Daphnia pulex: one gene and its partners. The protein of the gene in region 1 purifies or fractionates together with the protein of each later gene. This does not show direct contact. Links are inferred from orthologs where the notes say so. Each region holds a gene or a part of one and is shown on either strand. Other genes may lie near its edges.

Region 1 (4,299 bases):
TCCAGTGGACGCATAAAAACTTGTGGGACTGCATTCAGACGTTGCGGAAAAAATGGGAGGAGACAAAAAGAGAAAGAGACGGAAGTGGGGCCCCACATTTTTCAAGGAGACCAAAAAATGGGAAGCCCGCGCGTCCCGCCTTCATGTTTAGTTCTGTTCACCTATTAACAGGATACAATAGAACAGCCTATCGTTTCTACTATGATCTGTGCTCTCAAAGAAAGCACACCTTTTAAACCAGTTGATTAGCCGTTTTGCCATAACAAGTAAGAACTTTTAGATTAAACTACAAAGGCAAAACGTGGCAAATCACCCTAGCTATTTTTCAGATCCCACACAAAGACAACCAAATCAACCGAAATAGAAGTTAGGTGAAGCTTACCGGAAAGCATAGCCGTAATCGAAAGGATCTCATTGGAGCAGTTGAATTCCGTAGAAGCAATCAACATTTTGGCCAATTGAGGATCAAGGGGAAATTCAGCCATAATTGCTCCCAACTCGGTCATGTTACCATCGTCGTCTAAAGCACCGAGATAATTCAGCAACTCTAGAGCTCTCATCAAAGTCTCGGGAGCTGTAAAATAAAAAAAAAAATCAGCATGCGGTTTATTTATTTAAATGTTGATATGGTACCTGGAGGGTCCATGAAATCAAAATGAACAAGGTCGTCGATGCCTAATTTTTTAAGATTAATGACGACTGATCCCAAGTTGGAGCGAAGAATTTCAGGATATGTGTTGTCTTGCATCTCTTGTTTGTAGGCTTTTTCTGTGTAAAGACGAAAACATTTTCCTGGTCGCGTACGCCCGGCACGCCCAGCACGTTGCTGAGCTGATGCTTTGCTGATAGGAGAAACGAGTAAAGACTCGACGCGAATGCGAGGATTGTAAACCTGAAAACAGCAATTCCACAAATTTGAACCATGTAACTCACATTTGAAAATTCCTAAATGTTACCTTTTGTTTGGCAAAACCAGGGTCAATAACAAAAACAACACCATCAATAGTAAGCGAGGTCTCGGCGATGTTGGTACTAATAACCACTTTACGACCGATGGCTCCATTTGGTCTAACTGGGGGAGCAGCCTCAAAAATCCTCTGTTGCAAATTTGGTGGCAATGTGGAGTACAAAGGAATACACTTCATTTCTCCCACTTCAGGACCAAGGTTGTCGATTTCACGTTTCAACCTTTTGCAAGCTTCATCGATTTCCTATGTGTACATGAATAAGATAAACATGTTCAGAGAAATCTGAGAAATTCAATCAAATTTTACAAATATATAAAGCTAACCTCTTGACCAGTGAGGAAGAGAAGAACATCACCGACAATATCTTCACACATGTGAATTTGCATGACTGTGCGTATGGCTGCTTCAAGATAGTCACGCTCGGGTTCTGGGGTGTAAAAGATCTCCACAGGATGCGTCCGACCGGGCACGTTCATCAATGGTGCGTTATCAAAATAAGATTGAAACTTTCCCGCGTCAAGCGTGGCAGACATGATAATTAACTTTAGATCACGCCTTTGCTTAATGACTTCCTTTAAAACACCCATAAGAATGTCAGTAGCAAGTGTACGCTCGTGAGCTTCGTCCAATAAAACTAGCTGATACGAGTCTAACAGTGGATCTGACATGGCTTCACGCAACAACATACCGTCTGTCATGTACCTTTAAAAAATGAAATAGGGAATAGTTTTGATCGAATAAAACGTTTTACTCAAAAGAACATACTTGAGTACGGTTTTGGGGGAAGAACAGTCTTCGAAACGGATACTGTAACCCACTTCTTGACCAAGAACGACGTCCATTTCATCAGCTACACGTTGAGCCACAGACCTTACAAAAAAAAAACGGTTTTATATTAAGAGAAAATTAACTATTTGACTTAAAATATTACATAGCAGCAACTCGACGTGGTTGAGTACAAGCGACTCCTTTTTTAACTCCTAGTTTTCGCGCAAACTCAGCCGACCTGTCACAATAATAGCAAATTATCAACAAACTGCTCTACGATAAACTAAATATATTTCCTAACCATTGAGGAATTTGAGTAGTTTTTCCCGATCCAGTTTCTCCAACTAAAACTATTGCCTGGTTGTTTTCTAGAAGCTCAAAAAATTTCTCCCTGTATTCCCAAACTGGAAGGCCAATGCGCTTTCGATAAATGTCATAGTATCTAAAACAATATAAATGATCATTATCAACGAGTGTTTAAAAAAAAATAATATTTATGATGTACTTTTGTGTATAGGGCAATCCTGTAAGGGGATTTAATGTCAACCCTGGCTTTGATGGTGTTACTGGAATTGATGCAGATGAACCACCAGGTTTAGAATCAGTTACATTTCTGTAAAGTAATAAGACAAAGCATTATTTTAATCTTAAGACACTAATATGGGAATTTGTAAATCAAAAAGTGAAAATGAATTTAGAAAAATATTTATAACAATAGAAGCTTACTTTTCTTTATCTGCTTCACTCCCTTTGTCACCAGTTGCCCGGCTGTAAAGTAAAACAAATTAATTTTATTGCATAATAATTTAAAAAAAGAATGATGGTTTTTTGAAAAATCATTAACAATCTTATCGACCACGACATGTTTCACTACAGCATGCTCATGTGCATTACAAATGACACAATCGCGGGTTTATTTGTCTAATTTGAATAATTGCATTTTACTTACGATTTCTTGCTGAGCTTGTCATCAACTTCTATGCGTCTTTTCGACATAATAAGAGGTGAAAATATCTATTTTACGATATTTAAAAACGAACAGGACGTGGATACACGTTTTCCAACAGCACAGACAGGAACTTCGGCCACCAATTTCCACACTTGCAGACGCTACTTGTGAAATTCAAAGGAAGCACGCGTTTCATTTCAAATCGCTAGATGGCACATAGCCAATAAGCGGCGAACTGCGGAACTACTGGTTTATTGCCACAATTTAAGTTGACAATAACTCGTCTACAGATGCCGTATTTTTATGCGCGGCGCTGATCTATAAATGTATATGGCTTTGCTTCTAATTCGTTTCAGACCCTAGCTATATGGTATTTGCTAATTGAATAGTATAGTAATTATTTTACTGCTCGATCACAATTTCATGGTTGCCTCGTTTTGGTGGTTAGAAAGTTACAAGTTAGCCTAAATGAAAAAGTTGTTGATTTCTCAATTCGGAATATTTCCTCCGTTCAGTACCGTTATGTTTATATATTCCACGAGAATTCAGCATTGACGACGTCCTTATTATAAAAAACTTTGAATTCATTTCAAATAAATTAGTTTGAATATCCAATACGCATTGAAGGACTCAATTTGTCTTATTTCTATTAATCATGTGTTTGGTCTAATGAAATTAGGCCTAGGAAAAAATAGAAAATAAAAATCTATATGGGGAGAAGCTATTGTTTAAATGCATTGATGCTTCCCGGAATAATTCAATTTAAATTGTTCTTTATTAGTAGGGAAGTTGTAGAGAGAAAGTAGAACGCAGAGAACGGGCATGAAATCGTGAACTGAGCGGAACACATAGCAGTAAAGAAAAAAAGAAAGGCTAGGAAATTTGATGTCCTATTTCTTCTTTCTCGGTGCTCCCGACATTCACATCGCTACCTGCCGCCGAGGAATTAACAGGTCTTCCGTCCTACGTCCGTCCAGTTTACGTTTCCCTGTTACAATTCCCTTTGAAAATCCGTAAGACAATTTTTTGTTACCGTTAATTTTATCGCTATAGCTAAAAATCTGTAATATTACTTAACAAAATAATTGGAAATTTCGTGTGTGCTGTTAAATAACTTGATTTCAATGGCCGAAAAAGTGCCCGTACTTCGGGAGAAAATATTTCCAAAGAAACCCGATTTCCGTTACGCGCTCTCAGTATCTAGAGCATCGCATTTTGATTTAATATTTTCCTTCTAAAGAGACCAAAGACTACTTTTTTTATTTGCATTTCTGTTTATGATTTGCAAAAATTGCGATCGGACATTTTTTGAATTGGGAGCCTTCGCCCTCTATGTCGTCTGAACTTGTTGATGTTATTAACAGATATCTTATTGAATAAAACTAGAGGTGCTGCTTGATTAGATAAGAGAAAGCCAGCAAGCAGTTATCCAGTGAAGGTAAACTGTAAATTATCCAGTGAAGGTAAACTGTAAAATGAAAGATGCAACGAACTTTCGACCGAGCCCTTAACTAAATATGTGTCAATGAACTCGAGAAACTTCTTTGTATTAACTAGGGTATACAGAAAAATGGACAAAATCATGTAGAGATTATGAACATTAAAATAATGATT
Region 2 (4,237 bases), on another chromosome or scaffold:
AATTGGTCAAACAGCTGTTCCCCCTTACTTGTTCAGGTCACCATTAAACGGATATCAAGGTATAGACGAATCGACTGTATTTCGTGAGTTAAGCAAAAGTAGAGTGAGTGAATTCTCATGGAGTTGGAGGATCGTCAGGTCCGCCCTTTTCTTTTTCTCGTTCTTCGGCCCTTGAGCGCATTCTCGTGATGAACGCCTGACCTTTGCTTTTTCGGAAATTTTCAAAAGGATCACGTATATTGATACCGACACCTTTGAACTGGTCCAAACGATCGCGAACCTGAAGAACGAAAAATATCAATCCGCTATTCTGTTGACACAAAAATAGTACCGTTCGATCAATACCTCTCCTCCTTTGATGGGTTCCGCTATGCCTTGTTCATTTGCGCCGAGTCCAGCTCCTCCCCAACCCATTTTGCACAAGAGTTGATGCCCTCGGTTGTTTTCGTCCAGCTTTGTCGTGAAACCTTTGGCAAACGACACGGATGCACTGCAAAACGCCGAATCAAATTTAACCAAATCACATTGACCTAACTTAAGGAAAAAAAAGGGGTTGGTTACATTTCTGAAGGTGGCGTGGGGCTCCGCTTTTGCGCAAAACCGGTCATCGTGACGGGCGAATTAGATCTTGATTCCGAACGACTAGGTGTAGGAGAACGAGAGCGTGCAGCTCGACGGGGCGACTCTGAATTAGATCGACTTCGGCGACGTCTTGTTGAATTTCTAGGCGATCTGGATCGTGATCGAGCTTGCCTCGATTCTTCTCTATGCTCTTCCTCGGGCGACTCACTGCGGAATCTTCGACGCACGGGACTTCTGATTCCATTCTTACCACTTCTTTCAGGGGAATGATCCTCGACAACTTCGATAGGAGTTCGAGGCGGCGACATGTCGCGTAATCCCTGAGCAATATCTTCTTCTTTCTTCTTTTTCGCAGTTGCCTTGTTCTTATAAAACTCGAAAAGAGCCATCTGCTCCCACCTAAAAAAAAAAACAAGAAAGAGAAAAGTTGAGAAGAAGAAGCTTGAATGATAAGCCAACAAGAAAGGAAATCTATCACGAACCCATCTGCGTTTCGTGGTCGGTCGTGCGAGAGAGGACTGTAGAAGAAATCAATGGCGGCAATCAATCGCTCAGACGGTGGGAGCGGTGCAGGAAGGCGGATATCTTTCGGATCGATGCTTTTGTACTCGCTGTCTTCCATTCTCACCAGTGGGACGAGTAATCCCGCTGGTAAGTCGAAGTAGGGAGCCTTTGGTTCAATTCCTTCACACGGGTAGTTTTGCGGGGCATTAAGGGAAGCAACTGGCGGCGGGCGAGATAAGAAATCCGGCGGCATGGCGTGATGAGGTGCATTAAAAGACTGCAAAGCATTGGCCGCCGCGATTTGTTCTTCAATTTGCAGTTTCTGTTGCTCTAGCTGCTGAATCTGGTGGTTGGCATGATTGACGAAGGCTTGATGCTGGCCGCGGTAGTTTTCGTACGTATGCTGAATGTTGCTAGTTGAAGCTGCTACGGCTGCCGAGTATTTGGCCACTAGACTGTTGTGGTATTCATTCCAGATGTGTAAAGGTGCGTGTAACCTTTCCAGGACACCACGCTCAAACAAATTATTTTTCGTTTGCCACAAAACGACCAGTTTTTGCAATTTGGCGTTTTGCTCCTCGTCGGTTGCAGACAGACTAGTGTTTGAAAACATGTGGACGACAACTTGTTCGAGTGTCTTTAAAAGCGTGTCGGGTCCTTTGCGGAGACAATGGTGTAACACGTCGTTGACCAAATAGATCAAGTGAAGTTTGTGGGTAAATTGACCTGTTGATTCAGAAAGAAAAAAAAATGCTCAGGCAATGCCAAGTAGCCACAACAGAGGAAAACTTACTGCTTTGAGTTGTTTTGAAAAGGAGATATTGTGCTATGGCATCAGAGGATGAATGAGGCTGCATCACATGATGGAGAATCCAAGCTTTACCCTGAGATATGGATTCTTTGGTGCAAGAATCCATGATAGGCAGTAAAAGCAATTCTAACTCTGCCAAATTCATTCCACTTGCCAACGCTTTTTCCATGACTTCTTTTTCGTGTTGCAACTTGACTGTTTCCTCTGTCTGCTTTTTCTGCTGTTGCACTGTCACTTGATGTTGAGCGGCCAAGTTGCTTTCACTTTGTTTGATCTGGTGAACCAAACCAATTAGTATTTACTATTTTTGATATGATCTGGAGTATGTTTACCTGTTCCTGCAGTTGAGTTTGTTGGGCAACGAGTACATCTTTTGCACCTTTTAAAGCAATCAAATCTGTTTGAGGAGGGATGGGATTTTGTCCAGGAAATGACATCTGATTGGGCATTGATGGCTGTGGGTGAGCCCTAGGCCATGCAGAAGAAGGGCCATAGTTGTAATTCCTATTGAAACTGGGATGTTCTGTATTAGGCGGTGGGCCATAGTTGATTGGATAGCTCATGGGTTGACTTTGCTCTCGGACAAACTTTTGCTTGTTAATTGCTTGCTCTGTTGTCACACGGTACTGGTAGTAGTTGAAAAGTTCCCCACCAAACAGGAAACCAAACTTGGGGTTATCTCGTTGTTTGTTTTTCGTCATTTGCTCAAATTCGGGACCATTTCTCGCCACAAATTGAGCTAACTTGTCAATAATGTTGCGCAGTTCTATGTCTATAAAAATATTTGTTGTGAACAAATTGATGAGGAGATTTTTCAATTTAAACGGTTATTACCTTCGGGAGGACGAGGTAGATCCATTGCAGAGTTTTATGTTTTAAAACTTTAATTAAACTTTAGGCAATCAAAAACACACATACATATGCAACTGTGAATTGTTTCGATGCCGGCATTAATAGTTCGTGTTGAATTCCGCCAGAGTCTAGTAAACGGTGCGTTTTTGCTAAACTAGATGGCGTGAAGTTCGGTGCGAATAGTAAATTCCCTAACGTGTGACAAGAATTTCAATTGGGGAAAAATTTCTTGTTTGTATACATCGAATGCAGCTTTCCATATTTATGAGTATATGCTTCTTTGTAATTCAAACTCGTTTTCCACATAATTAAAGGTTGATATGATGTGTTGACGCGTTAAGTTCCAATCTCTTTCCTCGTCTCGCTGGGGGGGAGTCTGACTCTCTCTCTCGCGCTGCAGGTCGTGTCATCACACGCAAAGTAATCGGTCAACCAACAATTACAGCAGTAGCACACATGAATAGATACATCAACTCTCAAACGGACAGTTCGCTTTTTCTTCGCTATTTCAAAATGCGTTCTTGGCAGGGTCCCAATCGAACGATGTGTCGCAACAAAAGACACACCAAATATCATAACTCTTTGTCCCAGATGAACTACCTCTTTTTTAATATGACAGTGTTTCGGGGCAATGATGACCAGTGGAAGACCATTTTTTTCGCCTGTTCTTCTTCCTATTTCCGTTCTCGACCGTTCGGGTAACATAATAGCTTGAGTGGGCGGCTGCGAATGCCAATAATATACATCAGCAGTGTGTGTGTGTGTGTGTGTGTGTATGCGAGTGTGTGTGTATGGCGCCCAAAATAGTAGCACACTGCATCCAACTTGAGCCAAGTTTTAAAATATTTGGAAGCAACTGCGAAAAAAAGGGCGAACACCAGACCAGAAAGAAAATGAGAAGCGCGTCGTGTAGGAAAAAGAAAAATTCAAACTAAAAACAAACAAATTTGCCAGTTTTTCGTGGGCAAAGTTAGTCGGCGATCGGGTCGTGAGCAAATCGGCCGCATACAAAATCTTCTTCCTTGTTCTAATATTAAAATAATTGGAGGAAAAAAGTCGTTGGCGTTGGAAAGAATTCGACAGATTGTGTGTGAATCGAAATAAGTGTATTTGTTCAAGTGGAAATGAAATAACCCAAAATATTTTTGACTGATTGTGTAAAGTGCTCTTTCGTTTCAATTTGATCCAAATCATTCAAAACAACATTTTATTTCTTCCACTCGATTTTCAGAGATCCGGAGGGAGGTCCAGTAGCTCGTCGAATGGCGCCGAGATGGTTGGGTGTTGTGTTTGATTCATATGCCAAAACACGAGCCCTTTTTTGAAAAAAAGTTGACCTTCAATCAACTTCGTATTCCGACGTTGCGGAGTGAGAGGAATGAGATGCGAGTCTGGCAGACGATAGCTGAATCGTGAGACGAGGCATGCGTTGTGCCACATTGGCTGCCGGGAAGGCTCGGATTCCGCTCGGACGACCATGTCAGTCAA
Region 3 (4,377 bases), on another chromosome or scaffold:
ATACGATCATCAGAAATTAGACTTGCCCGTGGTGAGTATCTCCGTTTCCAAAAAAGTAACTAAAGGAACATTTGGGACCGGGTTCAGCACTATAAACGTTTTTCACGACAGTTAATTCGAATTGGTTGTTGCTCAGGTGTTTGCTGTACAGCCTCAAGGAAGGTACACTGCACCAGTAACGGCCGAGGAATGGCGTCGGCAAAGTTGCTCCTTGCGCTTCCGTTGTTCCTTCCCGTGACCACCTGGAGACGTGATTGACAACAAGAACGACACATTGATGCACCACAGCCAGTCGTTTCAAATCACTGGCCACTTTGTTCAGTAAACTGATGGCTGCAATAAAAACAAAACATAAAGTTGGATTAAGTCTCAAAGGTGTCCATGCCTTATATGTTTTCGGCACTCGAGGGTTTAATTAACTGATGATAAGTCATTTTTATGTACATACAGTCGTTAAATGCGTCCCCACGTATGGGTAAGAATAAAGTGGCTAGACTGTCAATGATGACAAGTTTGTATCTTTTCATTTCTGGAGTCCACAGCAGTTCCAACAGTTGATAGACATCATGTATGTGGCAGAATGTAATCCTTTCTAAACTCTTCACATAATCACCATCCTAAAGAAAGAAACCTCTGTCATTTGCCAAACTCAACAAAATAACCACAATTTGTGCTGCAAACTTTGTCTAAATTTTGCATGATATCTAGGATTCGCTTAGGATTTGCATCACCAGTAGTGATGTAACAGACTTCATACTGTAACTTTAGAGCAGTATTTGCTGTCAAGTGTAAGGCTAATTGAGTCTTTCCAGAACCAGAATCTCCATAAACTTCTACCAGTCTCCCACTTGGAATTCCTCCATGGAACATTCGATCAACACTATCTTATAGAACAAAATTTGGGGGAATTATTATGTATAGACAATTGCATACAATTATTTAGAAAACTTCTTACATCTCAATTCCACTATGAATAACAACTGTTCTCTTCAACATCATGTCATACAGTTTGTCTCCTCTCATGGGTTTGCTGTTGTTGGAAGCTAAGATTTTATCTTTGATTTTGATAATTTCACTGACATTTTGAACAATCAATTTAGCCATTTTGTCATTGTTGTACTGCACAAAATCAAGAGTAGTTAAAATTTTATGGGATTTCAGTAATTCTAGTTTTTCTTTTGTCAGTAAGGGACTGACACTTTCCGATAAAAGATTCATGAAATAAAAAAGAAAGCAAAACAAACAAAACGATCAAAAACAAATTTAAGTCTGCTCAAGTTTGAAAAATGGAGAATGTCAAAGGAGTTGCCAATAGTTTCAATTAACACTTTAGCTTTAACTGAAAAGCTGCTAAAAAGTCATTGAATTAGCGCAGATAAAGACCAGATTATTGCATATTTAATGTTTGAACTTAATTCAGGAATATTTCAAGCATATTATAAACAAGTAAACTAAAATAAAAATAATTTTTTTTTAATATTTGAATCTTTACTATTTCCACGATTAGGCAGCTCTGTAGCGCCCATTACCCAAGCTTAACCGGAACAGGGAGAGTCGGCATTTTCTATAGTCATCTCGTTCTGACGTTATTGTAACAAAACCATGGGAGACAATCGTAAGTTTCATTTTTTAATTGTTAAGTTGACATCTAAATTGATTCGACAATAAATTTAGCGAAATGATGATGTTATTGGCAGTCCGAAAACTGTTTGTTTAGAGTTACACGTACGTCAATTTATAACCCTGTCTTTACCATGTTGTGGCCCAAGCTTGTCTGGGAATCAATATCCCATCTATAAAAAGGACTCATAGTAATCTTATTTCATATTTACAGAATATGGATATTCTGGAGGAGGTGGTGGTGGTGGTGCCTATGGTGGCTACAGCAGTTACGATCAGGCTGCACCTGCCTATGGAGGTCCTCCTTCTGGTGCCCCTGTAAGCGGTGGATGGGGAAACCAAGGTCAAAGCGCAGCACCATACTCTGGGTATTCTGGCGGTGATGGCCCAGTTGGCGGCTACAGCACTCAACAAGGTGGTGCTGGTGGTGCACCATCCACTGCATATCCGTCAGGTTTGTTAACTTCTAACATTTCGTCATTTCTAACATTTTGATCAACACATACAATTTTACTACAGGAAGCAGCAGTGCTGGTTATAGTGCCTATGGCGAACAGACAGCTTATGGAGGCGGTGGTGGTGGTGGATCAAGTTATGACAATGCAGGATCATATGGTGGATCAGCAGCTTATGGCGGTAATCATACTTTGTCCTAGCCTATTTTATTTAGCAAATTTAACTTTATGTTATCATATCAGGTGGTGGTGGCGGCGGAGGTGGTTACGGCGGCGATAGAGGTGATCGAAGTGGAGGAGGGGGAGGATTCAGGTGAGTTTTGTTATTCAAATAGCTGTTAAGATAGTGTAGAAAAATTAAGTGTACAGTTTGATTAAAGGTTACAACCAGTAAAAGGGAAATTTCAAATTGCGTTCAAGAATACGAAAGTTTGGGTCCAATGGTATCTTTAAAACAATGTTTTGGTATTACGTAAAAACTTAGTATGCTCAAAGTCATTCGGGTTTAACAAACGGGTACTCACGGTTTTCACTTCGGTGGAGCAAAAAACAGTGTTGTGATTCAAGTAAAAAACATGAATATCTTAATGTGGTCGTTTCGGATTGATGGTAAAGAAATTTATCCATTTTTAAATACGCGGAGTTTGGTATGTGACCATCACATGTAACAGTTTACAACGGTTATACTGTGCCAAGTGCACCCAACATTGGTTATTTAAAAGAAAGTAGTAATTTTTTTCATATTGCATAATCTGAACATGGTGTTTTGGTAATTTGTTATTGTTTGATTTGTTTTACTTCATGTTTTTTTTTTAATTATTCTTATTTGTAGTAAATTTCGAATTTTTTGAATAGTATTATTTGCATAAGTTATATCATATTGTGTTCCATAATAATTTGAAAGCAAGATGGCAAATGCATCTTAGCCAATTTGGTGTCAAAGACAGGGTATAGCAAAATGTATCTTTCTGGCTATTGCAGTCATAACGCTGGAAGCAGAGACGGGTTTCCCAAAGGTAATTCAAAGGTTCATCTAACGATGCCTTTCTTACTGTGTCTACTTCTGGTACGGTTTGTCACAATCTTGCCGTTGTGGTGGTGAAAAATCTTCGACATCCAAATGGCATTCCTGTTGGTGCAAGTATCAAGCAAAATACTCTATCTCCATCTTTATTCTTATCAAATCTCCTTGTGCATATTTACGAATCTACGGTACAGAATTTCTGTACTCTTTGATAAAAGAGTTTCAGACTTTCTGCGTGTACAGTGATATACCTGGAGAATGTTACCTTTGTATGCTACGGTATTTCAGTCAATTGTCAGCCACTTTCCATGAATTTAAACCCCGAAAGAGGCCGAACGTGTGGTTCTAGTCTTTAAGTGGTGTGTTGGGTAAAAAAACTTATTTCCACCAGAAATTGGTGGTTTTTTCTTTAAAAAATTCCAAATGGTTGTGTGTAAAGAATCCCCAACAAAAATGGTGTGTGAGTGGTTTAAAGAAATGAGTCCAGAAAACCTATGGGTGTATCTGTAACGTGAACAGGTCAATTGAAACTGGTCCTGTAAAGGGTAAGAACAAAGGAAGTGAAAAAGTGGGGAGAGAAATCGGCTAAAGGTTAAATTTACTCATGGAAAGTTTGGTGAACGGTCCGACTATAGTATTTAGCACATCCTAACCCAACTGTGGGACTTGCTTCCTGCCGCCGTTTATTTCAATTGTGAGTACCTGCATTTAATCTTTAATGTATGTTTCGTTGACAAGGTGGAGCTGCACCAGGAGCCGTTGCTGATGACCGTATTGTTATGGACGACAGCGTGTTTGTTTCGGGTCTTCCTGAAAGTGTGACCGAGACCGAGATCGAAACCTTTTTTGGTTCGATTGGTGTTATAAAAGTATTTATTAAAACATCCAAATCAACATTTTTCATTTTGATAATTTTTATTCTTTTGTCTCGATAGATTGACAAGAAAACTGGCAAACCTAAAATCTGGTTGTTCAAAGATCGTGACACTGGCGCTCCCAAAGGAGAAGCAACAATCACCTACGACGATCCTAGCGCCGCTAATGCTGCAATCCAGTGGTTCCATGGTTCGTAACTTGTATTATTATGATGTGTTTTCTTTCTTAGCCATTTTTTAAATTTGTATTACAGGCCAGCCATTTAATAACGGACCAGTGCTGAAAGTCTCTATGGCTACGAGGAAAAACAACTTCCCTGGAGGCTTCCGTGGAGGTCGTGGCGGGGGTGGCGCACGCGGAGGCGGCGGATTTGGGGGAGGTGGCGGAGGAGGAGGCTTCGGG
Region 4 (2,541 bases), on another chromosome or scaffold:
CACTTAGTTTCGTCAGTTGGATTTTCCCAATAATAAACCTCGGGACGATGAATTTCTTCAATGTACAAGAGCCCACCGATAAGGGATTCCAGTTCGTCCGATTTATGTAGATTTAAATTAACAGCCTACAGACAACCGTATAACAAGATAAGAAAAAAGAAAAAGAAATCAAAGCTGCATAAAGTGTACAAACCCTTAAAAAGTCTTTTTCAAACTTGTATGCACCTCCACCTGTGGCACAAATGGTTGTGGACAGAGAGGCAAATCCTTTAGATTTTGCTAGCTGCAGAAATTGCTCCATTTCAGAGGTAGGAAATCTGATGAAATGTAATGTTCCTACTCTGTTTCCCATTGGAATTGAACTCATCTGAAATTTGAAAATTATACTGAAATCAATTTCTGATAAAATAGGAAAGATTAGAAGATGTAAACACCTGCAGATGAATGTCTCGGTGCCCTGTCTCTCCATAAGCATTGTTACTAGTGAGATACTTTTGAATGTTGTGTAAGGTTTCAATTTCTGACGAACTTACATTCTCTTCCTCAGGAGCAATGTCAGTTGGTTCAAAATACACTAATTTAACTAAAGTTCCACCTATATCCATTCCAAACCAGGGCATGCTAGCTGTAGAATAAAAATAATTGTTTATTATCACAACTAATTGATTAAAAATAACAATACTTACGAGAATGAACAACTGTGGAACTTGAATCATGGCCATTTGTTACCCTGTTTTCTACACTATCCATTGTGCGACCATATTGTGTTTCGTGATCAGAAGACATCTGTTAATGTGCAGAATTTCAATGTGCTTTCTTTAGTTATATCCCAGCAATTCTTTATTGTATGCACAGCACCGGATGAAGCTTAAAAATCCCTTTATTTAATTGATATCGGAAGTAGCGAATCAGTTCAGTTTACGCGACTCGAATAGTGGCCATCTGCATCATATCTTGATATTCGAACCAATAGAAAAAGGAATTCGGGTCGTACGATGTGGAAACTTTTCCCCTTTCCTTTTCTCTTATTTGAGTATGCTATTCCTCATTTGACACAAATTCGTCTGCTAAAACATCAGCATTGCCAAAATATTAAAATGTGAAGAGTAAATTGAGCTAGGAAAAGATTTTTATGAGATATATATACATTTTTTTAGTATTTAATTTGAATCAAATTTTCTAGTGCATAAAACCAATTAATTGAATTACACGAAAATAATGTTTTGTTTATTCTGTCAGCTCAGAATCGTCGTCTGCTATGCAGCCATTTTGAATACCAAGCGGCGTTCTTATTGTCAAGTTCACGAGCACAGTTTTGAATTGTATTGATCAGTGATTTCGTTGTTTTAACTGAATTTTACTCCTAACAATGGCGATGGCAATGCAGAAAAAGCTAAACGTATGCAATCATGTGTTAATTTTTTTTTATCATTAGTAGTTTATTATATTGAGTCAAGATTGTTGTGCATCAAGATTTCCATGTGAGCATTTCTTAAATATTTTTATTTTTCAGGTGAGGTTACCTCCTGAAGTAAACAGAATCCTATATGTCCGAAATCTTCCCTATAAAATTACATCAGAAGAAATGTATGATATCTTTGGAAAATACGGAGCTATTCGGCAAATCAGAGTGTAAGTAGAAATTGATAATATATGTTAGCATCAATTGTAACTCATTTGATTTGATAGAGGGAACACTCCAGAAACCAGAGGAACAGCTTTTGTGGTCTATGAAGACATTTTTGATGCAAAAAATGCTTGTGATCATCTTTCTGGTTTTAATGTCTGCAATCGTTACCTTGTAGTACTCTATTATCAACCTACAAAGGCCTTCAAAAAGGTTGACACAGACAAGAAGAAAGAAGAGATAGAAAGCATGAAGGCTAAATTTGGATTGAATGATGAATAACATGTAAATTGACCTCATTTCTCATTGTACAATTTGGTATAATAAAAAAACCATTTTCACTATGTGAATTGTAACCAGTATTGACCCTTTTCCAACCAGTGTAATTGTGAGGTATTCCATTGTAATGGAATATCAAATATGATTTGCACGAGTTATTACAACTCAAAAATGTTTTTTCTAAAAAGAATATTCACGAAATATCCGGCTTTCAAGAATAACAGATTTGTAGGCACAGTAAACAGACAAACAATTGCACTGCAGCTACTGAACACAAAATTATTTTCAAGCCAGTTTTACTGGGACTTCATGGAGACCAATTTTCGACTTCTGTGCTTTGATTCGCTCCGGTGAGATGTATATTCAAACCAGATAATGTTAGGGATTAATGTTTGATCTCTCACCAATAGCCATTCACACACTCTCCTAAGAAATAACAATGAATATTGCATGTTATCGGCATGGAAACACTTTTGAGGAAAACTAACCATGATGCAACAGTTGGGAACCACGGCGTTAGAGCGAATTGCGTAAATAAGAACCACGAAACTGCTAAAACAGATCCAAGTAATCCCCCTACTATTACTTGGGAAGCAGTGTGGTACTGAAGATAAATCCTAATAATGAAGCAAGAG

Evidence for each region. Proteins that work in one complex are often made in the same cells at the same time.
Region 2: the proteins of putative pre-mRNA-splicing factor ATP-dependent RNA helicase PRP1 (region 1) and calcium homeostasis endoplasmic reticulum protein-like purify together in Homo sapiens (co-immunoprecipitation; 3 studies listed by BioGRID and IntAct, with this or other methods). This does not show direct contact. The link is inferred for Daphnia pulex from reciprocal best matches to the Homo sapiens genes DHX15 and CHERP.
Region 3: the proteins of putative pre-mRNA-splicing factor ATP-dependent RNA helicase PRP1 (region 1) and RNA-binding protein cabeza-like purify together in Homo sapiens (affinity purification with mass spectrometry; 4 studies listed by BioGRID and IntAct, with this or other methods). This does not show direct contact. The link is inferred for Daphnia pulex from reciprocal best matches to the Homo sapiens genes DHX15 and FUS.
Region 4: the proteins of putative pre-mRNA-splicing factor ATP-dependent RNA helicase PRP1 (region 1) and splicing factor 3B subunit 6-like fractionate together in Homo sapiens (co-fractionation; 3 studies listed by BioGRID and IntAct, with this or other methods). This does not show direct contact. The link is inferred for Daphnia pulex from reciprocal best matches to the Homo sapiens genes DHX15 and SF3B6.

The regions. Positions count from the first base shown.
Region 1 is NC_060017.1:1,846,464-1,850,762, forward strand, and holds the start of putative pre-mRNA-splicing factor ATP-dependent RNA helicase PRP1, read right to left. Parts: upstream 2,859-4,299; 5' UTR 2,733-2,858; coding exon 2,686-2,732; intron 2,505-2,685; coding exon 2,463-2,504; intron 2,350-2,462; coding exon 2,242-2,349; intron 2,179-2,241; coding exon 2,038-2,178; intron 1,975-2,037; coding exon 1,900-1,974; intron 1,839-1,899; coding exon 1,734-1,838; intron 1,671-1,733; coding exon 1,292-1,670; intron 1,212-1,291; coding exon 957-1,211; intron 893-956; coding exon 634-892; intron 575-633; coding exon 383-574; intron 29-382; coding exon 1-28. Other genes in the region: quinone oxidoreductase-like, read left to right, coding at 4,211-4,243.
Region 2 is NC_060023.1:8,902,435-8,906,671, reverse strand, and holds calcium homeostasis endoplasmic reticulum protein-like, read right to left. Parts: upstream 2,871-4,237; 5' UTR 2,757-2,870; coding exon 2,732-2,756; intron 2,670-2,731; coding exon 2,230-2,669; intron 2,172-2,229; coding exon 1,880-2,171; intron 1,813-1,879; coding exon 1,065-1,812; intron 982-1,064; coding exon 562-981; intron 491-561; coding exon 346-490; intron 281-345; coding exon 116-280; 3' UTR 61-115; downstream 1-60. Other genes in the region: TELO2-interacting protein 1 homolog, read left to right, coding at 1-47; uncharacterized protein LOC124197929, read left to right, coding at 4,227-4,237. UniProt on the Homo sapiens protein: Involved in calcium homeostasis, growth and proliferation.
Region 3 is NC_060020.1:5,621,326-5,625,702, forward strand, and holds the start of RNA-binding protein cabeza-like, read left to right. Parts: upstream 1-1,507; 5' UTR 1,508-1,602; coding exon 1,603-1,615; intron 1,616-1,834; coding exon 1,835-2,074; intron 2,075-2,139; coding exon 2,140-2,256; intron 2,257-2,318; coding exon 2,319-2,388; intron 2,389-3,056; coding exon 3,057-3,091; intron 3,092-3,837; coding exon 3,838-3,968; intron 3,969-4,034; coding exon 4,035-4,164; intron 4,165-4,228; coding exon 4,229-4,377. Other genes in the region: DNA repair protein RAD51 homolog 4-like, read right to left, coding at 17-333, 449-617, 682-880, 956-1,218. UniProt on the Homo sapiens protein: DNA/RNA-binding protein that plays a role in various cellular processes such as transcription regulation, RNA splicing, RNA transport, DNA repair and damage response. Binds to ssRNA containing the consensus sequence 5'-AGGUAA-3'.
Region 4 is NC_060019.1:12,853,456-12,855,996, reverse strand, and holds splicing factor 3B subunit 6-like, read left to right. Parts: upstream 1-1,239; 5' UTR 1,240-1,369; coding exon 1,370-1,399; intron 1,400-1,513; coding exon 1,514-1,632; intron 1,633-1,689; coding exon 1,690-1,909; 3' UTR 1,910-1,971; downstream 1,972-2,541. Other genes in the region: pantothenate kinase 3-like, read right to left, coding at 1-125, 194-367, 435-625, 687-786; dolichyldiphosphatase 1-like, read right to left, coding at 2,203-2,332, 2,395-2,523.